Rhinolophus ferrumequinum: one gene and its partner. The protein of the gene in region 2 purifies or fractionates together with the protein of the main gene of each other region. This does not show direct contact. Links are inferred from orthologs where the notes say so. Each region holds a gene or a part of one and is shown on either strand. Other genes may lie near its edges. The genes, in order: PHLPP1 and WDR48.

Region 1 (16,609 bases), on a different chromosome or scaffold from region 2:
TTAGTCCTTCTAATTTGAAGGGTGGGCTCTCTAATAGAGCCTCAGAATGTTAAGAGTGGGAAGAGATCTTAGATTTCTTCTATTTCAAGTTTATCGTTTTACTGATGAGGAAAGCAAAGCCCAGGATAGATTAAAATAAATGCCCAAAGTCATACCAAGTTTCCCAACTCTCAGACTAGTTTCTTTAAACGACAGACCATTTTCTCTCACAGTGTGAGATAAAACAGTACAAATTCGTTCCCAAAGTTGTTTTTGAAAAGAACAAGGTTGTTTTCACCTGACTCTGAGACACAGCAGCCAAACTCAAGAACCATTATGTAGCATCCATTCAAGCACAAAGTTACAGCCAGACAAGCTCTCACAATATACAGGTGTGAACAAAGCAAGAATTCCTCAGGAACATATTTCTCATAATTGACAATAAAGGTAAAAAACCAGGTCTGTGTACAAAATTTTGCTCTTTGGACCATGTATCAGGAGTGAACTGATTGTAAAATCCAGACAATTATTAAATAGATGATGAAAACAAGTACAGATACTGTCTTTTGCTGTATTTAAAAACATGCCTCATATTTGAAAAGAAAGCCCAAACACTCTAACATATTATTTAATGGCAGCAGGTATAGGAAAAGATTCATTCTCTAAATGCTCTTCATCAGATGTATGAGTCATTAGAAATAGCAACAAATGCAAAATTCTTCCTGTTTGAAAAGAATGGAGGAAAAAAACTAAAAAGAAAAATCAACTAATTCAAATTACTTCAAATTTCTATAATTAGATTTTTCACTCATTATTGAAACGGTGCAAAACCAAATTACAGTTGACACTTCCTTTAACAACACAAGTTTGAACTGTGTGGGTTCACTTATACACAGATTTTTTCCAATAAAAATACAGTACATATTTCAAATTTTATTTAGTCTTCAACTAAATGCTTCCACATAACTGGAAACGAGGCTAATTTACTTTTACAAGCTTCATTGGAAAAGTATATGACAAAAATTTTGAATCTGTCTGTTTTTTGTTAAACTATTGACATGTACAAACTCATAAAATATATACAATCTACAAATAATTTCCCCTGTTTCCAATAGAACTTCTAGGTTCCAAACTCAGAGGCCACTGGACTTGTACCTCAACAGCACACTTCACCATTAAATACATTTGACAATGTATTAAAGCAATCTCAAATGTAAAAATGCAACAGGGAAACAATTATGTCAGCATGAATGTGGTATTACGCATGGGATGATTATGCCTTGTTTCATTTAACATACTAAAAGGTATACCAGGATATGTATTTTATACTTATATAATATATAAACAAAACCATTCCACCTCTAAATCAAAGTGTAATAACACTTCAGTAATCCAGTAATTGTTATGCTTGATTCTAAAGTACATCACACAACTTGAAAGAGCTGTTATTTCATAGTTAACCCAAATCCTAAATGTTCTTTAATAAAAGTATCATTAAAGTCTGTTCTTTCCAGATCCTTGAGTTTCAATTTATTCAAATTTTCCAAAGCATAGAGTTGAAGTTTCATACAAATCCAAACACAACCAGTCACACAGACTGAGGTTATAAGTATCTTATTTGTCTAAAGAATCCACAGGGTCGATTTTGGGGTTTTGTTTTAATTATACTATCTTTAGAAAACCAAAGGTAAGTATAAAAAGGGTTTGCCCTAGAAGCACAGGAACATGAGGCCAGATTCAAACCCCTCATTACCACTGTTGTACCAGATGTCTGGGATTAAAGGAGTGGAGGTTTTAGAAGGTGGGAGTTTTAAAAAAGGCTTCATTTTCCCAGACTGTTCTGGACATTTTGATAACAATTTCTCTCTTTTTCAAAATGTCAGGAGTCTTTAAAGGAAAAGCTTTTCTATTGAGTGGCTTCAGGATCTCTCGATTTTCACAGCACAACAATTAAACCCTTCTCCTGTCCAGATAGACCGAACTGTGTTCAACCCTGGCACATAAAATCATTGAATCTAAGATGCCTCATTTGACAGATGCCTCATTAAATTCATCTCAAAGTTGAGATAAGAAATGCCTTTGAAAAGGGAGGGGGTGACACATGTTAACTCTAAGAAAACTTTGAGAACTGCTCTCTCAAAATCTACATGCAGCTTCACTCACGTGAAATAAAGTTATTAATAGTACTATGCGGCACATCTGAAATCTGCTGCCATGGGAGAAATGCCTCTGTGCATGTGTGTTTAATACTTCTCTGGGGACCCAAACAGCATGGGAGGCTAAAGAATCAGGGCACATACCACCAGCTGCTTAACAAAATTCCACAAATTCAATTCAACAAATGTTTAAACTAAAATGCCAAGTATTATGCTAGGCTTGGATCATATACAACGTCAATGAATGTTATGTTACCAATAAATCAAATTCAGGGTTCCAAAAAGAGAGTAAGAAACATCAAAAACACTGTACACTTTAAAAATAATAATCTTTGGATAACCAATCATTGGTTTAACTTTCTTATAGCAACAAAAAGATAAAACTTTCAACACAGAAACTTTACAAACTCATTTATACACATCTCCTCTCCTCACAATTATTTCAATGAGCACAAAAGACACACCATTTTAAGAATAACTATGAAATTCAGGGAGAATAGCTGACTCTAGTTCTATATAACATATGAATTATAAAAACTACACAACTGCAGAGTAACACCAAAAAAGCAGTATTGATCACTAAAGTACAAATAATTCTATTTTAAAATAAAAGGTTTAAGCAAAACTTTCAATACTTTACAAGTACAGCTATGTCTTAAAGAAACTGAATCGTCACACCACCACCCTCAAAAGTTATCCACTTTTTAGATGAAGTGTTAATTCTCTATACCCAATAAAGATTTATAGTTTAACAAATGAGGCGTGCTTGAATAAGAAAATAAAGAATCATTAGGTAAACTTTATTTCAGATCAACTTAACAAGTATGACTATTTGCAACCAGGATATTTAGAACACTTTAGTACTCCTTCTGTACTATTTATTTGCCAGTCTTGGTTTTTTACGTTTTTAAAGGCAGCATGATAAAAATAGAAACATCCACATTTCACAATGAATACCACTTTGGACTAGAGGATACTATCACCTCATTACCAACAAAAATAGCGTATTTGCTGAATGCTTTTAACCAAGTGAAAATTCAAGTGTAAATGAAATTCAGCACCAATTCATGGAAAGTGATAAGAATTGAAAAACTGAATATCCAAGTTCTCTATTCTCAACTCCGTCAAGGACTGAAAAACCACAAGCAAGAGTCAAACCTTTCTATGCATCAGTTTCTCCTTCTGAAAAAAGGAATGACAGACTCCTCCCTAACCATGTTTTTGAAAGGACAAGTGAGATAATTTATGTGAAAACCCTTTAAGATTTTTGAAGAAAATAAACCCCAACATATTAACAGATGTTATCAAACCACAGTTATGAAGGAAAAGACAGCATGCATTTTACATAAAAAACAACAAATATAAAATTTAAATATAAAAAGCAACAAAAATAAAGTTAAACCTTTTGTTCTTAAAATCAGAAGGACTGTTCAGGCACACACTGGTGTCACATGTTCATACCACGTTATTCAATACTGCTGTAATTATAGTAATAAGAGCCGGCTCGTCAATATTACAGCTTAATGCTGAACCACCCCTTCTTGGTTTCCATGTAGGAAACCATGTAAGGTTTGATCATTCCCAGAAGGGAAAAAGAGAGGAAATATGAGAGGGGTAAGGAGATCATTCTGAGCAATCCCAATAAGTCACACATAAAAACATCTTGTCCAAGATTCACTAGGCACAATGGGTGTGCTCTCCATTCTGTCATCATGCTTTCCACACTACTAAAATTTGAACTGAAATACCTGGACTACTAAATCTAAAAGGTGGCAGGAAGTCAACAATATAAAAAAATAGAGCTTAATACTGCACTTGATCAATGACAAAACACAAGCTCATTAATGTTTTGAAGTCCATACCTTATGTCAATTAACCTAAATTCTTGAACTTTTTTAACCTAAAACTACTCTAAGGTAAAATGTAAGATGGCTGATTTTAAAAGGACATCCGATGCTAATGTACGTACTATACTTAAGGAACGTCAGGAAAAACCATTTAAATTTTTTCATCTCTTCAATCACCTAAAAGAATTATTGTTTGATAGGCGCAATAACAATTTTCAAACCAAATTTTGATTCGCATCATTGTAATTAGTACTTTTTGTCCAACACCTGCTAGTGCATTAAGGACTTTCCTTTCACTTTCCCCAAATAAATATATTTAAGTATTCAAAGCAACCACAAATGGCTTTCAAAGCCTTTTAAGAATAATTTGAGTCAGGTAATCAACAGCAAACTTTAATTGAAAGGTGACCCTCAAGAGAATGAAAGTTCTCGGCTAAACACCAACTTCTCAAAAAAACACAGCTGACTAGACAAACTACATAGACATCCGATAACAAGTTCAAGTTAAATACAGGAAGGTATTCAAAAGGCAGCTTCCTAATCTATCCTTAATTCCAAGCACATGTATAAACAAAAAGATATGCAGCAATAAATTTAAGAGTAAGTTACATGTAAAATGATAAAAACATATGTGGTATACAAAAGGGTGTCATCTAAAACAAACATTAATTCTCTTCTTCCTCAGGAAAATCATTACTACCAAAATGTAACACTTTCCAGTTGGGTGTCCTACATTCCATTGCAGTACACGGATAATTTCTAGGAAATCTACTCCAGCTTGGTGCAAACTTCCACTACATGTGAAGTCCTGACAATGGTTCCATAGTAAGTGACACAACCTTATAGCAAGGCCTTTTTGTTCATCAATAACTAAACTTCCTGGGAAAGTTCTTTTTCCCTCAATTTTGTTCTATAGCAAATGAATATCAACAAAGAGACATTTGATATTAACCTATTCATACAGGCTTAAAACAAGCTCAACTTTGTATAAAAAAACAAAATAAGCAATCAGACATCTTTATAATAATCAGGCATCTTCCTTCTAGGACACCTACCTGTACCCTGCCTTCATCTTCGAGAACAGGTTGGATACTGTGTGTGGCTTCATATTAAGTATTTTTATGAGCATATACACAGAGGCATGTAAATATTTATGTTGTGTATACAGAAATAAAGCAAGTAAGTTCAGAATGAAGTAACAATTACTGCTATTCATAAAAAACAAAAAAAAGATTAAAATGACCACACCAGAAATTTAAGATTTAACCAGAAAGATACTTTGCCACTTTTATATTGAGATGTTAAAAACTGTATATCATTCACTTAGAATATTTTAGATACACTTGAAGAGACAATCAAGGGGAATCAAAGATTTAAATTTCATGACCATGACACCCAAAACTTTCCTATTAGCATTTATCATGATAAACATATCTAGTGGTGAGGAAAACAGGGGATACAGAGCTCTTTCCATATAAAATATGTCCAATACTGTTAAATGTGTGTGTATATATATATATATATATATACATATATATATATATATATACACATTTCCTTCCATGAATTAAGTCTGGTTATGAGGGTATTTATCACTTCAATGTTAACAAAATATTCCCATTCCATGTGTGATTATCATTTAATGCTTTTGTAATTTTACAAATTAGATGAGCTGTAGGAGAAAAGGATAGAGTTGTTGCTCCTACATAAAAAACAAAATCACCTATTTCCTAGACCATAAACTTTTAAAGGCATGTCATCCAGTTGGGATACCATCTTCAAATGAAACTGCAAATGCTATTGTATTATGATATGGTTTTCTTTATAAGGCAAAACTCCATCAGAAATCCACCTGAATTACAGAAAAACTTCAGTGAAATTCAGAGGAACATCTCATCAGGAATGCTATTTATTTGTCTTGCATATTTCAATGTGGGAGTAAAGATTTCTTCATTCAAACTGACTACACTGCCACTAGGACATAAGTTGGACCAAGAACATACTAAATAGAAAGAATGGGTACAGATTAATTACAAGTGTGATTATTTTTCCACTATCACCTACAACCTAGAATAGTAAAGTTGGGGAAGATACAACTCTGATTTATTTTGTTATGCTACCTTTATAAAATTCCTTATAACTAATAACATAATTCTTGAAACCAGAGGGAGAAAGGATGTAACCAACTTATAAAGCTCAAATATAACAACCAGAATCTATAGCTCCCTAATTATGCACCAGCCAAATCTCTCATCCAAGAGAACATTATTCACCCCAGTCAAGAATTTGATCTGTCAATTGTATCTCAAAAAAATCTGGAATAAAGAATAGAATTTTTTAAAAAATTTTAATCTAGAACTGAAAAAGAACGAGGACTTTAGATCACATTTCAAGAGATAGCACTTAAAGTCTTACTGTGATTCCCCATTGTAAATCACACTACAATGGTCAGTTCTGGCTATAAAGACTGAACGTGAGAAACAAAATAGGCAAAATCACTTTTGATGCAAGAATCAAACTTGGAGAGGAAATTGTAATAAAGCAAAAAAGCGCTGGGAAAAAGTTATCTAAAAAGGATCCTATCTGTTAGGTCTCTAACGAGGGGTAAGTGGGCAAATAAGCATGACAAAGAGAGCTGAACGTGCACCAATTTGACAAGTAAGGAGCTGGGGGGGGGGCAGTATTAGGGTTAGGAGGGCAGTCAAGTGTAGGGAGAGTGTTCTAGAGCGTTTTTGTTAGCCATTTTCCTCTATCGGTATTAAGTACACGTGATAGTTTACCTGAAATCCCCAACTGCCCTGAGGGAGGCCTGAGGGCAGCAGGTTCATTGTTGAAGGTACTACTGCCTCTTGAATACCTGCTTCCTGTACTTCCCGGGGGTTCTACCAACCCCTCCCAACCTCTGAGTTGCTTCCCAACCTGAGTCCCTCAAGACTGACCAAACGATCGGCACGAATAATTGCTCAGTTGAGTATTACACAGATCACCCGTGAAAACTGTAAAGTCACAAACACTGCCTAGGACCTGCGACTATTCTGGGGTCGGGCCAACAGACCGCCCACCTGACTCCCACCTCTGAACATGATGAGTTGACACTTTTCACCCCCCCTCCCCGGCCAAGTCCAGGTGATTTCCTTACCTGCGTAGAAGCGGATAAGGCAGCCAATCTCTGAGTCCATGCCTTCCTCCTGCACCCTCCATAACTCCCCAAAGCCCAGCTGGAAGAGGTAGTCATTTTGAATCTGCAAAGGCTTCTCGTCCGCCTCCAGGCGCCGGGTGGTCTCTCCGTGGAGCTGCACGTACAAGGTGGGCGGCGGAGGCGCCTTCTCCGCGGTCGCCGGGTTCCCACCCGGGGGGAGCTGGGGGCGGCCAGGGGCCGCGGCTGCTGCCTCCTTTTCCTCCCGAGGCCAATCGCGGGCAGCCCCGTCCGGGCCGTCGACGAGCCTCTGGGCTTTTGGCTGCGGCAGAGGCGGGGAGGCCGTCGGGGAAGGCGGCCGGGCGCCTGCTCCGGCCCGGGGCTGCACTGAGCGGCCGGGCAGGCGGGGCTGGCCCGGAACTCCCGGCGCGGCTGGATCGGCCTCGAGCTCCTCGGACGACGACGAAGAGCCACCGCCGCTGCTATAGGGGTCCAGCCGGTCCGACACGCTCTCGACGCTGGGGCTCAGGCTGAAGCTCTCGGTATCCGAAGCCCGGCCCGCGGCCGCGCTGTCCAGGGGCCGCGCGGCGCCTGGCTCACCCGGGCTGGAGTCCGAGGGCGCGGGGCTGGCGCGGGAGGAGCCGAGCGCCCACCCGCCGGGGTCACCGGGCAGCGGCAGGTCGGCAGGAGGCGCGCGCGGCGGGGCCCCGACGGCGGCCAGCGCGCTGTTCCGGGGGGGCGGCCGCAGGTCCCGCGGCTCGCCGGGTGCGAGCCGGGGGCCGGCATCGGGGGGCCCCTTGCCCAGCACCTTCACCACGCCGCCGCCTTTGTGGCCCACCTGCAGCAGGCGGGCGGCCACCTCGCCGGCCGTGGTGTCCAGTGTGCAGAGCACCGGGCGCAGGTAGGTCGAGGCCATGTGGCGATCGAAGACGTGCAGGCAGCCGCGCTGGAGCTGGTGCCTCACCCAGTCCCGGTCCGACGGCTGCAGCTGCAGCATCTGCCGGTGCTTCAGGAGCAGCGTCTTCCTGTCCAGGCTCCGGGTGCACAGCGACGCCGAGGCCGAGCAGGAGGCGGAGAGGCCGGCGCTGCCGGGGGAGTGCGAGGCGGCAGCGGCCGAGGACGACGACGACGACGAGGAGGACGACGACGACGAGGCGGCAGCAGTTGAGGACAGATTCCTCTTCAGCCTCCCTCTCCTCAGCAGGAGGGAGTTGGCGCCGCTGCCGGCCCCGGACACCGGGGCAGCCCCGCCGGCGGTGGGCTGGGGCGCGCCGCGCCTCCTCCTGCGACCGGTGCCTCCCACTCTGCCCGGCAGCGGCCCCGGCTGCGCCTCGCGGGGGGCCTCTTCCCGCGCCCCGGTGCTCGGGGCCGCCGGGGTCAGCGCGGGCTCTGGGCTCCGGCCGTCCCCGGCCGCCGCCGCCGCCAGAGCTGCCGCGGCCGCCGCTGCCGCCGCCGCCGCTGCCGCCGCCGCTGCCGCTGCGGCCGCCGCCGGAGCCGGAGCTCGGTCCTCCCTGCTGGTTTCTGGGAGTCGCTGCGCCGTAGACGCGGCGGCGGGCTCCATTGCAGTGGGGCTCCGAGCTTCCCCCCCAGCTCCGGAGGCAGCGGGCAGAGAGGGAGGCGGTGAGGCGAAGGTGGGAGACGGCGGCGGTGGCGCGGGGAGAAGGGAGAAGCCAATGGCGTTCGGCGCGGCCGTTCCAGGGGATTATGTGGCAATTCGGAGCATTCCGTCGGTGTCTCGGTGTTCCATCCCGCGCGCCCGCCTCGCCGCCACCGCCCCCCCTCTCAACACGCCCTCCCCGCCCGGGTCGAGGGCTCCCGCGCACAGGCCCCGCCCGCTCCCACACCTCACGCCAGCGAACCAGCCGCGAGGCTGGGCTCATTGAATATTAATCACGCGCCGGGAGCGGGAAGGCGGGAGGCGGACAGGGCGGGAGCTCCACGTGAGCCTTATGAATATGCATTGCTAGCATGACGGCATTCCTGGGAGGAGTGGGGAGAGCTGGAGGTCGGAGGGGAGGCGGGGCTTCAGAGTAAACAAACTGACGCGTGCGTACGAGGGCGGGGCGGGGGAGCCGTTTCCCCCGAGGTTCCAGCGCGGGCCTCACAGAAGGGGAGGCCGACAAAAGAGGCGTGCGGTGCACTCTGGGAGTTGTAGTGCTAGTGCGGAGACGGTCATGCTCAAGGGAAACAGGGCGAACTACAAGCCCCAGAGATCCTTACGTTGTGCCCCTCCTTGCATCCAGCACCTGGCAGTGGACAGTGCGTATTGTGCCCTCTACTGTTGAACACTGTGCCGGGAATGTTCTTGTTGATTAACTTGTACCCAACTCTCCCACTCCCGCTTCCCATAAGAGTTTCGTTTTCCCTACTAATTGAAATTAAGGACTTTGAGGGACTCAAAATGGCACAAAAATCCCCGGTTCGTGACCCTCACCTCCACCCGTTGTATGGGATACAAATACCCACAGCACCACTGGATAACTGGCAATCAAAGTAAGCCAATTTCACTTTTTCCCTACTTTTTCAAGGTCAAGGGAGACTGGAAGTGTCTGGAAATACTAACTTGGACAATTGCTGAATGTGCTTGGTGGAAGTCGTGCAACCCGGAGCTGATCTTCTTCCATGCCTATATCTAAAAAGGAAAAGGGCAAAGGGCAGGGCTCTCATTTTTTTCCCATTGATCTTAAAGTTTGGAGTAACTTAATGACACAGAAAGCACTGGAAAGTAATAGCAACGTTGGAAAGGAGACATTAGTGGGATACGAGATGGGCTGTTCCTGTGTGTTCCCTCCTATGTCATCCCTTGTTGTTTCTTTCAACATTCAGAAAAAAAGTTCTACTGTTACAATGTTTAGTTGTGTTTTGAAAAGTTGCACTTTCTTGTCAGTTAAAACAATACTGTAGACTAGAGTAGGGTAGCTTACTATTTAAAAGAATTTAGTAAACCTTTTTAATTGAGTTACCGTTCCCCCATATTGTTTTATAAATCTGGATTTTCACATGTGAGACTTTTTCAACCGTATACTATCCAGGGCCTGCCTTAACTTCAGTGAAATTCCTAAACTTTGGTGGGGGAAGGAGAAAGAGAAATCAACTGGAACTTGCAGCTGACATAACAAAAATTAAGGGCAAGGAAAGTTGTACTTAGGTTATCTACACAGTTTTGCTGAAGAGGGATTAAGGAAGCTACCAGGACAAAAATAAATACATATCTCGCTTGATTCTTGAAATTCCTGAGAATGATTTTCTGTATTTTTCTTTTGAAGTCTTACCTCTTGGCCTCATGAAACTAATTTTATTCCGTTTCAATTCAATCAACAGTTTTATTTTTTAAATTAGGGAGAATGCAAATTCTCCTAAGAGAGATAAGACAGTCAAGTCAATTAACTTAACAAATAATTATAAACATATTGTATACCAGTCACCACTGTGTTACAGCAATTGAATGAATCAGACACTGTCCCTGCCGTTTTCTGGATTTTTCTTTTTTTTTTTTTTTTTAAGGATGAAAGCATGAGCTCAAGATCAAGGTAGCCCAGGGGGAAAATTAGGGAACTAGTACATACCATACAACTCTTTCAAAGAATTTTGCTGTACAAGAGGGAGCTGTGAGTTGAGGAAGGGTTTTAATTCAATATGGAGGAAAGTATACTATGTTGAAAGCTGATAAAAATGATATAATTAGGTAGAAAAACTGATGATACAGGATGAGAAAGGAGAATAAAAAATATCTTCAATAAGTGAAAGGAGATGGGATTTAGTGCTTAAGTAGAGGGATTAGAATGCTGGAGCACAGATAGGTTATCCAACAAAGACAGGAAAGGAAGAATATATGAACACTGGTGCTAGAACGTAGGTAAGTGTAGTGGAGACAATTTTTGAAACGTCTCTTCTGATTCTATCTTCTGTTAAGTAGGAAGCATGGTCAACAGCTGTGAGCAAGGATTGTGGAGGAAGTGCTGAAGGTTTGAAGAGATAGGAGGAAATGTGAGATAGTCCCCTAGGAGAGAATAATCAGAGAAACTAAAAGGATAAGTAATCAGCCTAGATACAAGAAATAGTGAGCAAATTTACTGGTAAACATGTAGATAAATCTAAATATTATCTGTATAAAAATTTTTAACGCTCAGTTTGTAGAGTTGAAAAAAAAAGACAGAAATAAAATGCTGGACAATAACTGCTTAAACATAAGGAGGAAGTAACTGAAGTTAAAATGTTCTAGGGCCCTCTTACCACTGGGAGGTTCAGCTATTAATGTTACATTTTGTTAAGTACACAAGTAAAATTTTGAGAGTAACCACTAAAAGAAAAGAACGAAAGTGCCAACTTCCAAACTAATAAAGGAGATAAAACAAAATAAGAAGAAACAAATACTACTGTATTTCCCCCAAAATAAGACTGGGTCTTATATTAATTTTTGCTCCAAAAGATGCATTAGGGTGTATTTTCAGGGGATGTCTTATTTTTTTCATGTACAGCAATCTACATTTATTCAAATACAGTCATGTCATCTTCTTCTGGAACATCATCATAACGTACTAAATGCATCCGTCTAGTTGACAGTCTTAACTGGGGCTTATTTTCGGGGTAGATCTTGTTTTCAGGGAAACACGGTACTCCTGAAACTAATGTAAAATAATACTGGGAAAAAAAAGAACAAGCAAATACTCAACCCCCAAAGAAAGGGCACAAAGAGAGGGGGAAAAAAGCATAGAAATAACAGTAGCAATGGAAACTGGAGGAGATAAATAAGACCAGCTGTCAATAATCACCACAAACATAAGTGGACTAAACTTGCCAGTTAGAGTTAAAAGACAGAAATGGTCAAGTTTTTGTTAAAAAAGAAACAAACAAAAATGAACTTTATGTTTACAAGAGCACCTAAAACAGAAGGACTTAACAAAAGCTGAAAATAAAATGATTGAAAAAATATATACCATGTCCTTGCCTTTGTATACAGCTTACAGATTAGAAAGAAAGAGTCAACAAGTGAGAGGGATGTAGGGAAGGGGAAAGACCAGGTGCCGGGGGAAGAGACAAAAATAAAGCAAGGGGAACTGACCTAGTCTAGGAAGTCAGACAATAGAGACCTACCTTTGGATGAAATCATCTGGAACAACTGAAACTGAATACTTGCTGAAGGATCAGTCTTCAAAAGAAAGCAAGGAGGCAGAGAAAGAGATAATGACGTTGAAGTTCAATTTCAACTGCACTAATCTATATGGTGTCTTGAGTAGTCCCTAACACAATTAGTTCTAGAAATGAAACGAATGGTATTTTAATTTAGCCTCCCTTTAATAAGATCGAAAAACAAAGAGCATGTTAAATTTCAGTACAAAAACTCTTTACATTCCTTAGTTCCTTAGTTAATTTCCTACAAACCCATTTAATTTTCGATCTATTAAGAAATGTGTATTGGGCAGCCGGTTGGCTCAGTTGGTTAGAGCACAATGCTCATAATACCAAGGTCGCTGGTTCGATTCCCACATGGGCCAGTGAGCTGCGCCTTCCACAGCTAGAGTGAAAACAATGACTTGACCTGGAGCTGGTGGGTCCTGGAAAAACACACTGTTCGCCAATATTGCCTCATATAAATTAAAAAAAAAAATCTGTATTACCTCCCATATACCTGCTTTCTAGAGTTATATTTCTTTAGCTAATATAACTAAAGGCAAGTTTGTTTTAATCATAAATACTGTCACCATTGGCCCAATGTCCATTTGCATACTCTCTAAGAAATTATAGTGCTGTACTTAATCTAGCTCTGGTTCTTGTCATTTAGCTTTACACACAATCACCAGGACTCTGCCTTTTTATCCTCTAGGAATTTTGTTTACTCTTTGAAGGTATTTATAACCAAAACACCTCCTCCAAGAGGAAAATTTTTTAAAGAAAAAGCATTGCTCAGAAAATTTAGTACCCAAAGTATTGGGGAGAGAACGAGGGGATGGGACTTCATCATACATACCTGCCAGACTTGGTATGAGGGATTATTAAATTGGGAGGAGGAGGGGAATAATGAATAATGTTAAAGTATTTCAACATGAAGACAAAGGAAATACATTCCAGCCTCAAAGAAAGAGTGAGTTGGGGGCATGGGGCAGGGGAAAGAATGTAGAATATAATTTCTACATAAAGAAACTATTTCATACATAGTATTCATAACCTTAAAGACACCATATTCCATTGTACTCAGAATAATGAAAATAGGAGTTGAGAAGAAAGCAGAAAAGCAAAAATCTACAATATGATCCATTCCTTGTTCCACCTCCAAACCTTTCATAAAGTTACTCAACGTGGGGATGAAAGGGGAGAGAGAAAATGAGAGTTCGTAAAGAATAGGCAGTGCCCTTAACACCACATCAACTGGAACCTTGTAGTTGAAATAACAGACATTGATAAGGGCAATGAAACTTGTGCTTAGAGCTTACTAGTATCATGAAACATCATCCAGACCATCTGAGCCAACCTACACTACACAATCTTTTTGAATAAGAAAAGGATTTCAGGACAGGCCAAGTGTTTTTCAGACACCCGTGAAATAGCTTCTCCTACTTAAAAGTAGAGTGAGTATCCTGAAACCACCGTGACTCCTAGAGGCTTCCCCCCCACACCCTTTAAAGTGTTTCACATGTACAATACCACATTTTTCTGACTAGCCACACTTTTCAAAGAAACACATCTTAAAATGCTAAAAGATAATCCTGACAAGAAACAACAGATGTAAAAGTTGCAAACCCTGATGCCAACTTGTTAAAATATTTTCACAGCTAAGTGGAGAAAAAGAGAACATAATTTTCAATTTACTGCCACAGTTTATTTTACGCTGTGTGATTTATAACTGACTTGCTGTGTTGTGCATCTAGGTTAATCCTGTTTGCATCCTTAGATCCAAGATAAAAGAAACTATCTTTGGAATTTTTTTCCTAATATGAGCAGTTGGAATTTTAATGGAGGCAAGACTTGATAGCTGGGATGCTTTCAGTCTGAATTATTAAGGTCTCAGCTGTGTCCAGAAATAAATGCAGAAAGATGCAATATACAATGTAATACATTTAGTTAGTACATTATGAACAAGGAATCTAATTATAGTTTCACATTTTTATATCCCTTGAGCTACTAGTGGTTTACCATGCCTAAATTGCTCACTATTTACTCATTCTTTTTTACTAGGAAGAACCCATTTAGCAAATTACTGCTCTAGTGAACTAAATGAGCCCCAGGTGGCCACACAATTCCTATGTTCCCTGCTCACTGGCAGGATGAGACTTTCTGGGTTCTCTAAAGCCTTACCCCTCCCTCACAAGAACTCTATCAAGAATTTAGATCGCCACTATCACTTTAGGTAGCCCACTTCATCAATACCGCTTGACAGCTTCTCAGATTGTAGTGTACCCTTTTTAATCCCGTAATCCTTTGTCTTTCTCTTGTTTCTCACATCCTGCCTCGTAGAAATAGACGTGTTATATGTCACAAACAGTGTAGTATTAGACCAACAAATAAAGACCATGTAATTCCACCACTTCTGGTAACAATATAAATTACTTGAGACTCATTCAACAAGTATTCATTGAACTGTTATGTGTAGGCACCATTTACCCCCAGAAAATAGAATAGACAAAAATACCTGTCCTGGGGAAGCTTATGTATAGGCATTGTCATTTTTTAAATATCTTCAGTTAAAATTGACCTTCTCTCTTATTTTGTATAGACGTCTCACCTTAGACAAATGGGATATATGAAAATCTAGATATATAAATTATGTATTAGAGTATTAATATTTCTTCCCAAACTATTCTTTATTCTTTCTCTTACATATGAGTTCATTATACAATTGCTTTAAATACTGGGCTCCTATAATATTAATACATTTATAATACATTAATTAAAAAAATCATTTATACCTCACTTTTCAGAAACCCATTTTTGGTTCTAACAAGTGCCTAACACCTCTTTCTATCGAGATTCATATCTAACAAAAATCTTTCCTACATCATCTCAAAGCATTTCCCCTGAATCTTCCATGACTAAAAGTAGAAATATAGCCTCCAGATAATGATCCCCTATATTTATAGTCATTAATTTATACCCTGAAGAAGCAGTGTAGGTCCTTTCTTTCTTTTTTTTTTTTTGCCCCAAATGGAGAGATTACAGGAGACACAGCCAATCCCTAGAAGTTTTGCCCTTTCCCCTTTTACTCCCTCTACACCCACTGGTCTGAACTCTTAGATACACTGTATTACTTAGGGCATCTGTAACAAAGTACTGTGAACTGGGTGGCTCAAAACAACAGAAGTGTATTCTCTCACAGTTCTGGAGGCTAAAAATACAAAATCAAGGTGTTGGCAGGGCCATGCTCCCTCTGAAGGCTGGGGGCGGGGGCAGGGTGGGCGTGGAGGCAGGGGTGGCAAGGGATGAGTGGAGATGGACACTTTCTTACCTCTTCCAGCTTCTGGTAGCTGACAGCATTCCTTGTCTTGGAGCTTTATCACTCCAATCTCTACCTTCTGGTATCTGTCCTCACATGGCCTTCTCCCTGTGTCTCTGTGACCAAATACCCCTCTTATAAGGATACCAGTCATTGGAAGAGGGCCCACTCTAATCCAGTATGACCTCATCTTAACTCGATTGCATCTGCAAAGACCTTATTTCCAAATAAGGTCACATTCTGAGGTTCCAGGTGGATGTGAATTTTGGGAGGACACTCTAGTATAATAGGTGTTTCGCATCGCTCCTCAGGAGTGACAATCTGAAATTTATCAGACTTCTACATTTCAGGGATTAACAAAATTCTCTCCCCATTCCCCCCGCCCCCAAAAAATTGGTGACTAAACTAGGTTTATTAACATTTTACTCATCCATTTCAATATTTATTCTGTTCTATGTCAGTCACTACGCTAGGAACTGAGTATATGAGAGTGAATAAAACAGTTGTAAGCACTGCCCTCAAAAATATTTTTAAACTATAAATACCATAAAAATACTATTAAAGAAAGTACATTTTAACACAAAAAAGTAGGAAAGACAGATCTTAGCATAAACGGTAGTCCCTTTAAATTGAACAAAGTTAACTTTATAACTTTATGAAAAACTCCTTTCCTTGTCCTTTTTCTTTTCTCATGTTACCACAGATCAAGAAAAATACCAAACCAGTACCAGGTCTCAGACTGATATTTGGGAATTACAGGACTAGAGCTTTTGCTGTCTCTAGCGCTCTTCCATTCTATAGCCAGAAATCAATGGTGATGGTCAATACAGAGCTGTGACTTTCAAAAATTTAACAAGTTACAACCACCTATTGCCATATGGATCATAATATTACCAAAAATGACCACTGCATCAATACCATAGAATATGTGTAATCTTACCTTACCTCTGTGATAAAAATGGGATGAAATCAAGCAAAGGGGCTCAGGCTTAGGTGGGTATATTAATAAGTTGGTTTAAAGATGATGACAATGGCAGAATAACATTCTCAGTCTTCTACACAT
Region 2 (16,591 bases):
CAGCAAATACTGATTAAGCAACCATCAGTAGTCAGGCTGTGTTCTAAATGCTGAGGAAACCGTAGTGAACACAAAAGTCCTTCTGGACTTTTTCATCCTAGGGAGATAGAAAACATAACTAGAAGTGATAGCAAGTAAAGTTTTTTCCCCAAGATATAGGCAAGCTTTGCAGGCAGAAGAGATGGACGTAAAATAAAGAGAAAAGTAGAAGGTGCTGGAGATAGAAGCAATAAATGAGTGAACAAAGTCCTGGAAAAACTTCATTTAAGACAGAGAAGAGTAGGGCTCATATAGGACTGTCTTGATATGCTTTAAAAAAAAAAAAAGAGGAAGAGAGGGTACTATAAGAACTGTACAAGGGATGGAACCTTCAGTAGGAAGTATGCATTTTGGAAGAGACAATTAAAGGGACCTTGACAGGGAGAAATAATAGAGTAGTGCCCGAGCAGCAAGTGTCCAGTTAAGTTACACTTGATATATTTGTAGCTGGCTTAGTAAGCATTGTTTAATTTCTCCAGCAATTCTCTGGGAGCCAAAACAAAGAAATCAGATAGTGGGATAATCCACTGAATTTCTTGTGGTCTTTCTCTGCATTTCAAGCTTATATACCCCGGAGTTATTGGTAATGTGCCAGAGGGTAGAAACAATCAGGAGAAAAACTATCTTTGATAATTTTATTTCAAGATAATTGGATTAGTTTTCTACTGCTGACATAATAAATTACCCTGATTTAGTGTTTATTTTTGGGTCAGAAGTCAGGCAGGGCTGGGTGGGTCCTCTCGGCTCAGGGTCTCGGCTCAGGGTCTCGCACAAGGCTAAAGTGACAGGGGGTCTTTGTTCTTTCCTGGAGGCTCTAGGAGAGTCTGCTTCCCAGCTCGTTCATTCAGGTGGTTGGTGGAAGTCAGCTCCTTGAGGGTGTAGGTCTGGGGGCCTGTCTCCTTGCTGCTCATCGGCCAGGGGTCCATCCTCGCTCCGACAGGATGGCTGCATTGTTTCTCAAGCTTTCTATGTGCCCCCGCCTACAACAGGCGGTCCCTGTCATGCCTCAAATCTCTGACTTCTGCCTCCAGCTGGAGAAAGTTCTCTGCTTTCAAGGGCTCATATGATTAGATTGGACCCACTGGGATAATCCAGGATAATCCCCGTTTTAAAGTCTGTAACCTTAATCATACCTGCAAAATCCTTTTCATCATGTAACAACATGTTTACAAGGTCCAGGAATTAGGGTTTGTGGGGAGGCATTCCACCTACTACAGTAACTAAAACAATTTTTATATGAACACAGATGTGGACATATTATGGAATAAGTACCAAATTCACAGTGTTTTTAAGAACAGAAGCGTGTCAGGCTCACAGAGGGGCCACTCAGGCAATCTGTCCAGGCTCCCCCAAGGGGGGCATTATCTCACCTGCTCTTGGATGTCTGACAGACATCTTAATCATGGCACATCCCAAGCCCAGCTCCCGGCTTCTGCTCCAAACTCGCTTTCCCTGTTGTCTTCTTCACTGATGGAGTTAATGGCAACTCCATTCTCCCAGCTGCTCAGGCCCAAACCTTGGTGCCATTCTTACTTTAGTTTCTCCCATCTCTATCTTGTCAACAAGTCTTGTCATTCAAAATTCAACCACCTCTCACCACCCGGGGAAGCCACTATCATGTAGCACCTGGATTTCTTGAATAGCCACTGGTCTCGCGGCTCTGCCCTTGCTCACTTGCAGTCTCTTCTAAATACAGAAGCCCAGGTGATCTTATTAAAACACACGTACGGGTATGTCATGTATATTCCTTTGTGAAAGCCCACCACCGTTTCCCATCTCACTCCAGGGGCAAAGCCCGAGACCTCACCATGACCTGCAGGCTCAACGTGATCTAGTCTGCAGTCACCTCTCTGATTTCACCTCCTCCTGCTTCCTCTTCCCCTCACTCACTCCATGCCAACCACAAAGGCATAAAGATGCCACAAATAGGCCGGGTACGTCCCCACCTCAGGACTTCTGCAGCTGACATTCTCATTGGAATGCTCTTCCCCAGACGCTAATCTCATTTCCTTGTTTCCTTCAGATCCTTACTCAAAAGCCAGCCTCTCAGCAAGGCCTTCTCTGGCCACTGCAACCAACATTTCACTTCCCCATCTTCTGCTGCTTATCATTACTTAACCATTGTTTAACCTTTAAAAGCTTCTTTTTCCCCAACATTTTACCATGAAAATTTTAAAACACATACAAAAGTTGAAAGAATTACACAGCAAACACCCATATACTTACTACATATATTCTAGTATTAACATTTTCTGTATTTGCTTTATCTCATATCCATCTACCCGTCAAAGTAAGTTACATTATCACTAATAACACATCCCCTTAAATACTTCGGTATGGATAGCATTAACTAGAGTTCATTATTTATTATGGCTCATTAGTAAAGGTAAAATTTACAGAGTGAAATGTACAAATCGAAGTGTACATAGATCCTTCTGACAAACGAATGTACCAGCGTAACACAAACCAACCCTGACCAAGATACACCGAGCATCATCATTATCACCACTCGAGAAAGTTGCCTCATCCTCTTCCCGACGCCTACACTCCACTCCTAGGCAATCTAGATCTGACTGTTTTCACCAAAGATTAGTTTTTGCCTGTTCTGTAACATCCTATAAAAGCAATCACACAGCTCTTTTGTGTAAGGCTACTTCCAGCTATCAAGCTAAATCAAGCCCAGAAAAATTGTCCAAATATCAATAATTCTCACATCTGTTTTTCCTGCTTAATCTTGTGGACCAAGACTTTCTGTGAGAACCTCTATTTCTAGAGTGTTAATTTTAAAAAGTATTCTGAAAAGCAGTCTTGCAAATAAAAATAGGACACCTAGCCTGACTTCTAGTAAGGGCTTAGTAAAATCTCCTCCAGGGGTTAGTAAAAAACTGTCCATGGGCCAAATCCTGTTTTGTAAACAAAGTTTTATGGGAACACAGCCACACCTATTCATTTAGGTATTGTTGCGGCTTCTTTCTTGTTATAATGGCAGAGTTAAGTGGTTATGAGCAGTACAATGGCCTGCAAAACCTAAAATATTTACTATTCGGCCCTTTAGAGAAAAAGTTTGCTGAACCCTGTTCTAATGGAGGTCGCATTGGTACCGCATTTTTAATTACTCATCCTAAATAAAAAGTAACTCACCTTGGACATATGGCTAATTTGTAAGGGTCTTTCCTTGGGAAGTCAGGATTTGGCATCATTCTACGTCCTTAAAAACAGTATCAAAGATTTAACCAACCAACCAACGAACCAACCCACCCAGAATCAGGACTCAGAATCAGGAGTAAGGAACACACTGAGTTCTGAATAGGTCTAGAATAACTAAATATTTGGCAGGGTAAGGAGGGAAGTACTGGTAGAACAGACATTTGTTGGCTGCCTCTCCATTCCTCACTTCTGCTCCCAACATTTGCTTAAGGCAAGCAAATCCCACCACAGGGCTGCATAAAAGACCCTCTGTTACATTGGGCAGCGCTGTGAAAGGACTCGAGATCTGGGGTAGGTGCAGCCACCGTGCCACCCAGAGGGAAGACCTGGAGCTGGAAGCTTGGGAATAGGAGAGGACACCTTGTAGGCAGCCCAACATAAAACTGACTTGAAAGCACTTCTTAGTGGGCCCTCTGATTCAAACTTTGCATGACACTAGCACTACCTCTACAGTTTATTTACATTAACTAATACAGTGTTTTATTATGTGAGCCTGGGTAAGCTGGATTTTGGTTCTTTTCCAACCAAAGAATCCTTCTGTTACAAAAGGCCAAGTATTTATATTCTTGAACCACCACTGAGTACTAGGGCATGGCTGTTGCTCCTAAACCAGAAATACTGGTGACTTTTGTCCAATATCACCCCAAGAATTCTGAAGTAAACAAGAGAAGACACAGTTGAAGGAAAGATGGAGACAGAGAGCCAACCAACAGATTCAGGTTGCTGGAAAATAGTAACACTAAAGAACCAGCATTGAGTGAAAAGACTTGCTTTGGTATCTTGATTACCAGGAAAATTGTTGTATCATACATCGGAATTCACAAATTGGATTGTCTGATCGTATAATCTGACGATCACAAACCCTTCCCTCCCCCTCAAACTCATCTCCAGTCTCCTTAGAAGTTGAAGATAGTGGACATGTGCTCATTCTTCATTATGTCCATAATTAATAAACAGTATGTTTGGATCCCTCTCCGCTGGTTATTTATCAATATTATGTCTCAAGGGTTCTTTTGACCTATAAATTTGGTCATGGAGCACAGGACTACTGCCTCTTGGTACAAGACACAGACAGCCAAAAGGCAAAACGTATTTATGTAGCCACATATACTTTTCCAAAATGGAAAGGTTTTTTTTTTTTAATTTATAAGAGTAAAGAATGTTGTAAAAAGTTCAAAAATATAAAGGTTCATATATGTTAAAGATATCCCATTTCCTGTCTTACCCATAATCACATAATCTAATACCCCAGAGATAATAACTGTTAATATCCTTCCAGACTTTTTAAATGCATTATTTCCTTTGTGGAAATGGGACTATGCTACGTTGACTTGTTGTTTTGACTTCTGGACACTTTTCCTTCTAAATAATACAGATGTAGCTTGTCTTTGTAACAACTGCAAATTAGTCCACTACATGAACATGCCTAACTGATCTGCCAATTGACTACTGATGGATAGATTTTTGTTTTTTCACAATGACGCATTCCTACAAGCACCCTTGCATAACTAGAGAAAGATATATACACGTGTACTTTTGTAAAACAATTTTTAAATGGGGACTAGCTGGGTCAAAGGTAATAATATACATTTAAAATTTTGACAAGCACCAAAACACAAAATGAGTACTATGACTTTATTTAGAGTAAAAAATCACGCAAGTTGGGTACATATGCACAAAGAGTTATAGAACACTGGTTTTCAACCAGCGTCAATTTTGCCCTCCAGGGACATTTGAAAACGTCTAGTCATTTTTGGCTGTCACAACTGGGAAGATGCTAACAGCTAGAGGGTAGAAGCCAGGATGATGCAAAACAATCCCTATCCCACCCCAATGAAGAATGATCTGGCCCGAGATGTCAACAGTGCCCAGGGTGACAAACCCTGGTTTAGGATTATATATCACACTGTCCACAGTAGCTTTTTTTGAAGAGTGGAGGACAATTATCATTTACAGTTTTGTATTGTTTGTGGGGTTTTTTTTTAAACGTTGTATTGTCTTAATATCTTGCTTTTTAATTAAATTTTATTTTACTTTTCAATTACAGTTGACATTCAATATTATTTTATATTAGTTTCAGGTGTACAGCATAGTAATTAGACATTTATATAATTTACAAAGTGATTCCCCCCGATTAGTCTAGCACCCACCTGGATGTACAGTTATTACAATATTACTGACTATACTCCCTGTACTGTACTTTACATCTCCATGACTATTTTGTAACTACTAATTTGTACTTCTTAATGCCTTCACCTTTTTCACCCAGTCACCCCAGCCCCCCTCCCATCTGGCAACCCTCAGTTTGTTCTCTACCTAGGCATATGAGTCTGTTTCTGTTTTGTTTGTTCGTTCACTCTATTCTTTAGATTCCACATATAAGTGAGATCATATGGTATTTGTCTTTCTCTGACTTATTTCACTTAGCATAATACCCTCTGGGTCCATCCATGTTATTGCAGATGGGCAGATTTCATTCTTTTTTATGGCTGAGTAATATTCCATTATATATACAGAAGGTGCCAAAAAAAGTATACACATTTTAAGAAAGGAAAATACTGTATTAAAATTGTAATACTCAATATATACTGATTATAAAAGATGAATACAAGTCATGTGTATACATTTTTTTGGCACCCCGGTACATGCCACGTGCCACATCCTCTGTATCCAATTGTCTATTGATGGGCGTTATTTGTGGCTTGTTTGCAATGAACATGCACTAGTTTAAAAAACACTTCCATCAACAAAAGTTCTCCCTCATGTTGAGATAAAATCAATCTCTGTGGCTTCTCACATTGGTTTCTAGACCCTGGGGACAAATTCTGAAAGCAGCTAAAAAGAGTTACCGAACCTTCTCTTCTGCAGGCTAGTCTTAGTTCTTCTGAATGTTCTTCATAGGAAGTGGCTTCAAGCGACTTTGGCAATCGACTGCTATACTTTATTAGGACAAAGTGATAAGTGTTAACCTCAAACTCTAGTTTTGTGCTCTGACCAGTGAATCGTGGAATTATCATCTCCCTCATTCTACATGCCATGGCTCACATTCAGCTTATTAAAACACTCAGTTTTTCCACACACACTGCAGTTAACTTACATTTTCCCTGTCCTATACTTTTATATTCTTTTAAGTCTAAATACAAGAAACTGATTAACTTTCTTGTAATTAACTCTCCTTACTACCCTAAGAAGTGTATCGCTCTGGTATCTAGAATACAATTAAATTACAATTTTGAGTTACACTTTAGTCAGGAGCAGACATTCTCACTACCTGGCCTGCATGCTGGGGTTACTTAAATCCTGTCACTGATGCACTTAAAAGTCACCTAACAGGGTAAGGTATTGTAGATTTTTATTAATTTCACTCAATTCAGCAAGCATCTACTGAATGCTCAGGACACTGTACTTACCAAAGAAATCAATAAAACAAAGAAGTGAACTGCCCAGAAGACTACGGCTTATAGCAATTTGCTGTGGTATCTTACTGAAGAAAGCCTTTGTCCTACCCTGTTTCCCCAAAAATAACACCTCGCTGGACAATCAGCTCTAAAGCGTCTTTTGGAGCAAAAATTAATATAACACCCGGTATCATATGTTATACTATATTATTACATAAGATCTGGTCTTATATTAATTTTTGCTCCAAAAGACACATTAGAGCTGATTGTCCGGCTAGGTCTCATTTTCGGGAAAACATGGTATTAAACACTCAGATTTCAACTTGTAGAACTACATATATATGACGTCTGACAATTAAGTTCGCGAACTCATCCTAGAAAAAGGGCATCCTAGAGAAAGTTCAGCTCACTGCTGAACTATGGTTACCTTTGAAGTACTCCCCCTGGGAAGCTATGCACCAATGCCAAGTGCCTAGTCCACCCTTCAGAGCAATTTTGAAACTCTTTTTCTGGAATGGCCATCAGAGCTGTCATCGTATTACCCTTGAGTTCCTGAATGTCATCAAAATGTCTTCCTTTCAATATTTCCTTTATCTTCGGGTAAAGAAAGAAGTCATTGGGGGCCAGATCAGGTGAATAGGGAGGACGGTGCAGTACAGTTATTTGTTTACTGGCTAAAAACTCCCTCACAGATAGTGCAGTGTGAGCTGGTGGATGCGTTGACATGATGCAAAAGCCATGAATTATTGGCAAAAAGTTCAAGCCGTCTTTTACACGCAAGCCTTGTCAGCACTTCCAAATAGTAACCTCGGTTAACTGTTTGTCCAGTTGGTACAAATTCATAATGAATAATCCTTTTGACACCAAAAAAGGTTAGCAACATCTTTGCAACAAATTTGTGAACTTAATTGTCAGACCCCATATAATGCTGTTTTTATAAAGAAAGCCTGGTGGCTACTTATTCCTATACTGTCAATTCTTTGCACATTTTTGGGACCAAACGAAGTGCTTAGTAATGTTTACTAAATAAGGTATAAGGTACGTAGTACCATATACCTGCAGGCAAACACCTGTAATACAGGGCTTCTACTCACTCTTTGCATCGCTTAAAATAATAGGTACTCTTAAAAGTACCCAAAACAAAAGCGGATTCACGAAGGCATAAAGCACCCACGGAAGGGTTAGATAACCTTTTACCCTTGGATAATAAACTACAGAAATAGGAAAGAAGAATCATGGATGCACATCGAAGATGAAGAAATGGGGAAGGCGAAATGAAATTCCGAAACAAAAATGATATTCTCCCCACTAACGCTGGCACACTGTCACGTCGTTTCCACCACACCACGGGGAAAGCGCCCGCATAAAAAAAAAGGCAGGGGACGTTTTTTATGCAGAATCCCCGCAGAAAACCCGCAGGGCGGTCCGCACTCCGCCGCCCGCCACGCCCCCGCACAGGCCCACGGTCTCCTTCGCCGCCTGCCCACGGGGAACGCGCTCGGAGGCCTCCGCTCCGACGCGGCTGGGGCTGAGCGCTCCGGGGGAGGGGAGGGAAGGGCAGGGCAGGGGAAGGCAGGTGGGCGGGGAACGAGCCAATCCTCTCCCCGCCGGCCCAAGCCCACGAGAAAGCGGGCGACCGGCAGCCGCAAGCTCCGAAGCGAGCACTCGCGGGGCCCGCTGCGGGCCCAGCCCGGAGCCCCCGGCCCCTTCGTCCAGCCGTTAGCGCCGCGGCCCCACCCCTCGCCGCCGGCCGCGCCCCGTCCCACTCGCCCCCAGCCGCCACCCCGGCCCACCGCGGCCCGCGCCGTCTGCTCGCTGGAGGTGGGCCCGGAGCTGCCAGCCACGTCCGCGAGGGCGAGGAGCCGGGCTCCCATACCTGCACTTTCCTCCGCCCCGCCGTGTTCTGCCGGTGATGGGCCGCCATCTTGCATGTTGACACTCCGACGTCACTTCTGGAAGCAGCTAGGTCCGGGCGGATGTCCCGCCTCTTCCTCTTAGGCCAAGGGCAGGTGGGTAGGCGGAGGGCGTGCTGGTCGGGGGCTGCCCGACTGCAGTGTGTGGCTATGGCCGGTGGCCCTGGGGTGAGGGAGGAGCACCGAAAAATGGTTGCGTGCGTGTAATGCTGGCAGAGCCAGTTTTGAGCCGAGGGAGCAATCCGAATCCAACTCTGTGTGCCCCTCAACCCTGGCTTGCACTGTTCTCTGTCTGGGATGCCAATTCCAGAGGCCCAAGCAGGCTTAAGGGAAGCGCTGAAAGATTTAATAATGCTGGACACGGGCGGCTGGCACGGATTTCCCACACCCCCAACTTCCCTAGGCAGCCAAGGGAACTGACAGGTTTTCCATGACATATCCCAAAATGCAGAAAATTATAAACTGGTCTCGGAGAAATAGAAGTGTTTGGAAAGGAGGCGGCCCCCATCTTCAAGGAGCATCAAAGTATGTATTTAAATAAGAAATAAAAGGACGTTAGGAAGGCAACATCCTTTAACACTGGTTAAAATTGTTCTCAGAGACAACTTTCTAAGTTGCAGATCCTGAAGGAGTTGTGCTCACTCTAGAATCTTATACTAGGGCAATTAGCCCTTCTGGGTGAAGGTTTGACTTGAAGTTTTCCTGACACTAATTATTGGTGCTGAGGATAGTCAGACTCCCTTGTTTTTTTTTGTTTTTTGTTTTTTTTTTTTTTGTTTTTTTTTTTTTGTCAGACTCCCTTGTGAAAGGGAACCCTATAGAACTGCACTGTTTCATGTGTGGCTCTTGAGCACTTGACATATATGCTAGTTCAAATTGAGATGTGATGAAACTAAAATGACCACCTAATTTCAAAGACTTAGTACAAAGAAAAGAATGTAAAATACCTGAATAATTTTCAGCTTGATTACATCTTGAAATAATGTTTTGGCTATATTAGGTTAAAATATTAAAATTATATTTTTGTGTTTTATAATGTGGCTCTTAGTATATTTAAAGTTACATATATAGTCACTTTTTTTGCATAGTGCTAATAAAGAAATAATGCTTAGGAAAGTTCTTGTCTAGACAAATGCCTTTCTAAATTAATAAAGAAATATGAATTAAGAGTCGTAGAAACTGGAGGCATAAAGCTTCTTAAGCAAAACTGGCGGTGATAACTTGTAGATAAATGACCCATACTGCATTTTATTACAGATACATTCATTTTTCGTGTATTAATTTATTTGACAAATATTATTTAGCACTTGTTAAGTACTAGGTACTATATTAGGTGCTGGGGATCAGTAGTGACTGTATATAACCATAGAACTTAGAGTTCCAGGGTAAGACATAACTTGATTATGCATATAAATGAATATGGAGATAAATACAGTGAAGAAAGACATTTATAAGATAGGAAACGATTCTTGAGTCAAAATCTGAGAATCGGGGCAGACGGGTGGCTCAGTTGGTTAGAGCGTGAGCTCTGGGCATCAGGGTTGCCAGTTCGATTCCCACATGGGCCAACAAGCTGTGCCCTCCGCAACTAGAATGAAGACAACAACGAGCTGCCGCTGAGCTGCCACGGAGCTCCCAGGCAGCTGGATGGCTCAGTTGGTTGGAGCGCGTCCTCTCAACCTCAAGGTTGCCGGTTCCACTCCTGCAAGGGATGGTGGTGGGCTGCGCCCCCTGCAACTAAGATTGAACAACCGCAACTGGACTTGGAGCTGAGCTGCGCCCTCCACAACTAAGAAAGGACAACTTGACTTGGAGCTGATGGGTCCTGGGAAAAACACACTGTTCCCCAATAAAGTCCTGTTCCCCTTCCCCAATAAAATCTTTAAAAAAAAAAAAGAAAAGATCTGAGGATGGAGTTAACTAGACAATGAAAAGGAACAGTCTGAGCAAAGATTTGTGGCAGGAGGGAGCTTGGAACATTCCAGGAATTGAGGACCAAGCCTAGAGTACAGAGAAGGGGAAGGAGTATGCAGAGACCACACACAGCTGGGTCTTTTAGATCAATGGGAACCTGTTGAAAGGATTTAAGCAGGAGAAGCATTTGATCTGCATTAGAAACAATAATTCAACACATATCCATTGCACACCCATGATGTACCAGGCACCAGGCAGGCATGTTGCCCTGCACAATATGCTGGTACCTGCCAGAAATGGATGCTTAGGTTGTTGTGGTCCCACTTTGCACCTGAAGAGCATTGAAGTTGTGGTCTTTTCAGTGGGCAGAATATCTAGCAGTATGTCTTGAAGTTCACTTTACCTGAAGGAGAGATGGCCTTGGGTAATAATTAATGGTCCAAGCCTAATTGTTTGGCCAGTTGGTTCAGGACATGGAAAGAGAAAGATTGGAGGACTAGTGACAGGAAAGACTCAGGAAGGGATATCCTCGACCTTGCAGAATACATCTTAAGAATTAAGAATTTATTGAACAGATGACATGAACTGCTCTTAGATGAAACTCAGCCTCCTTATCCAGGCTCAGTGCAATCATGAATGAAATGGCAATAATAGCAGGATTGGAGCTATGCGTGGCATCACCAAGCCACTGCTGAGTGTTCAGCTTGCCAGCAACAGTGGCCAGTCCTGAGTTGGTGATATACCCCAAGCTCCGGGAGGATCAGCCAACCACTTGGAGGCAAGTCGATTCCATTGGCCCTTCCCGATCGTGGAGGGGGTAGTTATTTGGCCTCTGAAATACACTTACTCTAGACTTAGATTTCCTTTCCCCGCTTGCTGTGCTTCTGTCAGCACCACCATCGGGGACTTAGGGGATGTGTCATATACTGTTACTGTGTTTCACACCATATTGCTTCTGATCAACAAACTCACTCTGTAATGAAAGCAACTCTGTGGGCTATTGCTTGTAGAATTCATTGGTCTAATTGTGTATTCTATCACCAAGAAGCACCTGGTCTTAATTGAAGACTTAGTTATGGTGCCTTCTGGGAGATAACCCTTTTTGATGCTGTCTTACAGGATGCAGTATATGCTTTGAACCAGTGTCCAGTGTTTGGCACGCTTTCTCCCTGTGCTTATCTATTGCTGCATCACCACGCAAAACTTACCGGTTTAAAACAACTACAACATCTACTTTGCTTACAAATCTAATTGGTGCAGGGCTCACCAATTAGGGGACAGCTTGTCTATGTTCCACTTTCCACTTGATTCAGTTGGGGCAGCTAAAATTGGGGGGCTGGGACCATCTAAAGGCCCACTCCTTCGTATGTCTGGTGACCGATGCTGAATTTATGGCCAGAACATCTACTCATGGGTTTTCCACTGTGCTGTTTGGTTATTTACACAGTAGTGCATGGGTTCCAAGGGCGAGCCTCCCCACGGAGAGAAATTCGGGTGGAAACTGTAATTAATGCTTTTTCTAAAGTAGCAGTGGAAATCCTGCAGTGTCACTTTAAACCACATTTAGTTCATTAAGGCTTAATCGCTAAGGCTGGTTATATCTAAGGAGATTCCATTTTCTTAAATGGGAAAAGTGTCAAAGAATTTGTGGATATGTTTTTAAAACTACCACACTTCCATAGGCAAAATGAATGGATTTAGGAACAAAGGAATATACCTAATGACTCCAACTTAAAATGTTTTTAACTGCTATTCTTTGAAATTCTGGGCTTTGCTGGTTTAGAGGTTTGTTACCAAAGAAAGGAATTCTTCCAACAAAGCCTGAACATTTCCATTGATTTGGAGATGAAACTGCTATCTAACTATGTTGCCTGTCTTATGTCACTGGATAGGCAAGAGAAGAAGGACATGGTATTGGTGGAAGTGATTAACCCTGAGTATCAAGCAGAAATAGGTTTGCTGGTATAAGCAGACAGGTCCATCAAACACTCAGATCCCTTAGAAACGAAGGTATTGGTTGAAGATAAAGGAACACAGAGTGGCTGGTGGAGAAAGGAAATCATAAATGAAAGTGAAGTCCTCATGATCAGGGGAAGAAATGAGAGCTGTCATCTTTATTGGTATTTCTTTTATTGATGTATCATGTATACTTTTATGGGTTTTAACTTTTTTTAACCCTTTATTTCACTATTGTCTGTAGGGTGTGCTATTCCTTGTAAATTTCATTATTTAGTCCGTAAGTTGCAGAGAAATGGATATCAACTAGACGTTTTGGACTTAGAAGTGGATGGATGAATGGGGTAATTGATGAAACACTGGGTTGACTCCCTTGGAGGGTGACAGAGTGAATACATCTTTGATTGTTTGAAGGATAGTTGCAGTATTTTAAGTGACAACTCTTGATGGATAAGCATTGAAAGCAGTGGGTATATTGGTGTTGGGCAGCCAAAGGGATGACTGCATTTGAGATTTTTGTGGTTTTATTTTCTGCTGCCCACCATCTGAGTTCTCTTTCTGAGTTTGAGGAATTCCCCACGATGTGTGTTTCGGTGATGGTGAGTACTGCTTACTTAAAGTGAGAAAGACAGTTACTCACTTTTTTTTTAGACTTCTTACAGCAAGAGTGTGTGGATGTGACTTTAGCTTGATTAATAAAATGGCATCTTGACTGTAACTTTATGAGAAACTCTGTGCCAGCACCATTCAGCAGAACTTCTCCCAAATTCCTGATCTATGGGAACTGTGTGAGATAATAAATGTTTGTTGTTTTAAGGGTCCTGGTTATGGGAAATTCGTTATACTGCAGTAGATAACTAATACATCCTCCCTTCCCCACGAGGACGGGAAATGTCACAGCAGCTTCACAATTCTACAAAGATAATCTTCATTTAACTGTCTTTTCTGTGTAACTGCCACGAGGCTTATCCTGGCAGAATTCCTTCATCAATTCCTTAGCATTTCCTACAATGGAAGATTGGCATCTCTACTCAAAATGTCAGCAGGCCTGACATCTATTATTAATATATTGTTCTCAGATTTTGAGACCTCTGATTAAAGCCCTAGACACCATGAAAACTTTCGCATCCTGAAAAGAATTCATACAATAAGTAAATAAGAGTCCTAGAAGGCTTCTAGTTCCAAATAAACCAAATTTGTTCTTGTTTAGTCTTGCTCTGGAGGTTGGTCCTTCCCTCTGCCAGTTATTTGAGCAAGTCATTAACTTCAGTTTCTGTATCTGTAAAGTGGAATAACAACGGTACCTATCTCCTCTAGTTCTTATGAAGGTAAATGAAATAACCTTAGCACAGTACCTGGCATGTAGGAAATCTTCACTGTATTTTAGGTATTATTTTTAATCATCACCTTGCTGGGGAAACATTGCCCAAGTGTTGTAACAGCATTGCCAAAACATTGTAACTTCCTAAGGTAGATTGTCTCATAAGTTTTATGTACTATGGGGTCTCTTACTTGTAAAGATTTTCCAAATCAGCTTGACATTTTAATCTTTTATTCTTGCCTCCTCTCTTCTTCTCAACAGCCTGGAAAAAGATTTGTGAAATGAGAAGGCCTTTTTACAGATCGTCCTCATGCTTAAACACACGTTTTCTGGCTCATGATGATCACTCCATTTACTGAACAAAGTGAAGGTAACCAGGTGTGTCTTTGCACCATAGCCCAGAATTGTCATTACCAGGGGGACACATGAATGTTTTGGTTTTTTTGTTTTGTTTTCATTGTTCAAGAGGAATTAATGCTCTAAAAATGTGTTTACAAACACAAAACCATGTAGAGCCTTGGTTTGCAGCTACTATTATCTGCTGATACTTCATGCATTAATTTGGATATTTTAAAGATGAATTTTGAAAAGAAGAGTATTTTAAGCTTCTTGGAGGTAATGCAGAGTGCTAAATAAACTTTTTCATGCAAGCCTGTCATGATATCAATCAGATTCATGCGGAGAAATGGAGAAGCTATATTATTTCCTTATTACTTTAATGATTCTTTACTAAGAAGGGTGTTATAGAATAGGCTACAAGACTATAATTAAATAAGTATGCATTAGTAAAGCAAGATGACATAAGTAATAAATACAGAGACTCACAGTGCTTAAAGTGTTTATGTCCGAAGTGTTTATGTGCTATTTTATGCCTTGTCAGCAAATCCTCAGGTTTAAATACAGTCTTAAAAGGCATGGTACTAAACGAATCATCATTCAACAGGGCACTTATTTCTGAACACACTGGGGGCGGGGGAATAGCCGTTAGTTGTTTTTATGGCTTTCTATTTTTTTCTTACGTGCAAGTATGAGAAATACACACCAGTCAGTCCCTTTTCCATTCCAAAAATGTGTCCGCCTCTGTGTAGCTTATACACTGGGGGGCAGTAGAGAACCATTCAGCCCATCCCTGATTGGGAGCCTTTCTGACTCAAATGTGACAAGTCAGATCTTAAGATGCTTCATACTTATTTCCTGCTGATAAAATGTCATAATCAAAGTGCCTTTTCAGGAAACCTATTTGCTCCCATAAAAAGCCATAATTTATTGTGAAAATAAAAGAAAATAAAGGAAAATGTATGCATTTGTAAGCGTTTACTAAGTGGGGAAAAATATGAAAGCTACATCATACATGTAGTACTTTTTTTGTGGTGGGATTTCTGTACAAGAGCTGAGCTGACTGAGGCTTCCTAAAATACTCATTCAGAAAAGTGAAGTGGGTGTGAATCTTATTCCATAAACTCTGATATGTAAAGGTGTCATAGTAGATTGTTAAAATTAATTATAATGTTGAGCTCTTAGCCAGCCACAATGGTTGAAAAGGCAACTCCAGTCATTATTAAGACTCCCCTGGCCACCCTAGTCCTCCCTAAGGGGTCATGTACCTACTGGAAGCACCAACAGTTCTGAGGCCACAGTGGTTAGGGCAGAGATACCCAGTGTCCTTTGAAAGTGGCCAGGCCTCTGGTCTTTTCTTCCTTTGGGACTGGGCTTTTTGGTTACAGCTGGAAATCCCAGTGTCTAGGGCCCCACTTCCCTACGATCATCTGCCATTGTTGCCCAGGTTCTGTCACCAATCTGAATGCTTTCAACAATAGTCACAGGTCTTTACTCTTTGCAGAACCTCCTCCTGCTTTCACTGCCTTCTTCTCTGCCCTCCAAAAACAATGGATCTGTCTTTTGCACACCTTTTCCCACCCAGATTCATAGCTCAACTTCAGTGAGCTTGGCCTCTCACTAAAGGCAAGATCAGAGGTATTTATTAAGCAGCTTCTGCGTAAGGCCCAGTACTATAAACCACTCCTGAGATCAGCAAGCACTGTGGACCGGCAACCACCAGCAGAAGGTGAGGAAGGAAGGAAAATTGCAGCAAAAACAAAATATGCTCTAATGTCTCAACCAATTATCCTCCACAGAAGCTGGAGCTGAAGATAATTCTTTTCCTAGTAATCTGCCTACAGAAACCACAGGCATTCTTTATGCCTCTAAGCACCTTCAAACTGCATTCAAATTAGGGTTGTGTGTCTAGAAATCTTTCTTTGCTAATTTGTTGTACATGAATGCCTGCAGAAGCCTTTGAATGGTAAATGCTGTGGGAGGGGCAGTTTCCATGGTGACTCTTCAATGCACCCTTTTTCTTGCACTCCAGTTAGATCTTCAGTGCTGAGCTGCTGTGAATGAAAAGGTAACAAGTCAGTCCCATCTGGAGGGCAGGAGGAGATGTGAGAGATGCAGCCTGTCTAAACACAGTTATATTCTGAAACTACCGAGTTGTGCTATGCTTGCTTCGCACCATTTCTTCATAGTTGCCCTAGCCGTACTATGGGAAAATATATTTGCAACACACATGACAAAGGGCCAATTTCCTTAATATAGGAGGGGAGCTTACAAGTTAATATAAAAAATACCAAATGAGAAATACACAATAGGAAAACAATGGACAATGGACATAACGAAGCAGTTTACAGGAAAAGAAAATTAATGGCTTATATTGTCTGAAAATGTGCTTGATCTCATTCGTAGTGAAGGAAATGCATATTTAAATAAGCTTCCATTTTTCACCTACCAGATTGGAAAAGATCTAAAAGTTTGATAATGTACAGTATTCCGACACTGTGGAAAAC

The links.
Region 1: the proteins of WDR48 (region 2) and PHLPP1 purify together in Homo sapiens (affinity purification with mass spectrometry; 5 studies listed by BioGRID and IntAct, with this or other methods). This does not show direct contact. The link is inferred for Rhinolophus ferrumequinum from reciprocal best matches to the Homo sapiens genes WDR48 and PHLPP1.

Annotation. Positions count from the first base shown.
Region 1 is NC_046302.1:50,040,944-50,057,552, reverse strand, and holds the start of PHLPP1 (PH domain leucine-rich repeat-containing protein phosphatase 1), read right to left. Parts: upstream 9,016-16,609; 5' UTR 8,680-9,015; coding exon 7,122-8,679; intron 1-7,121. UniProt on the Homo sapiens protein: Protein phosphatase involved in regulation of Akt and PKC signaling.
Region 2 is NC_046300.1:13,612,304-13,628,894, forward strand, and holds the start of WDR48 (WD repeat-containing protein 48), read right to left. Parts: upstream 8,591-16,591; 5' UTR 8,569-8,590; coding exon 8,521-8,568; intron 1-8,520. UniProt on the Homo sapiens protein: Regulator of deubiquitinating complexes, which acts as a strong activator of USP1, USP12 and USP46. Enhances the USP1-mediated deubiquitination of FANCD2; USP1 being almost inactive by itself.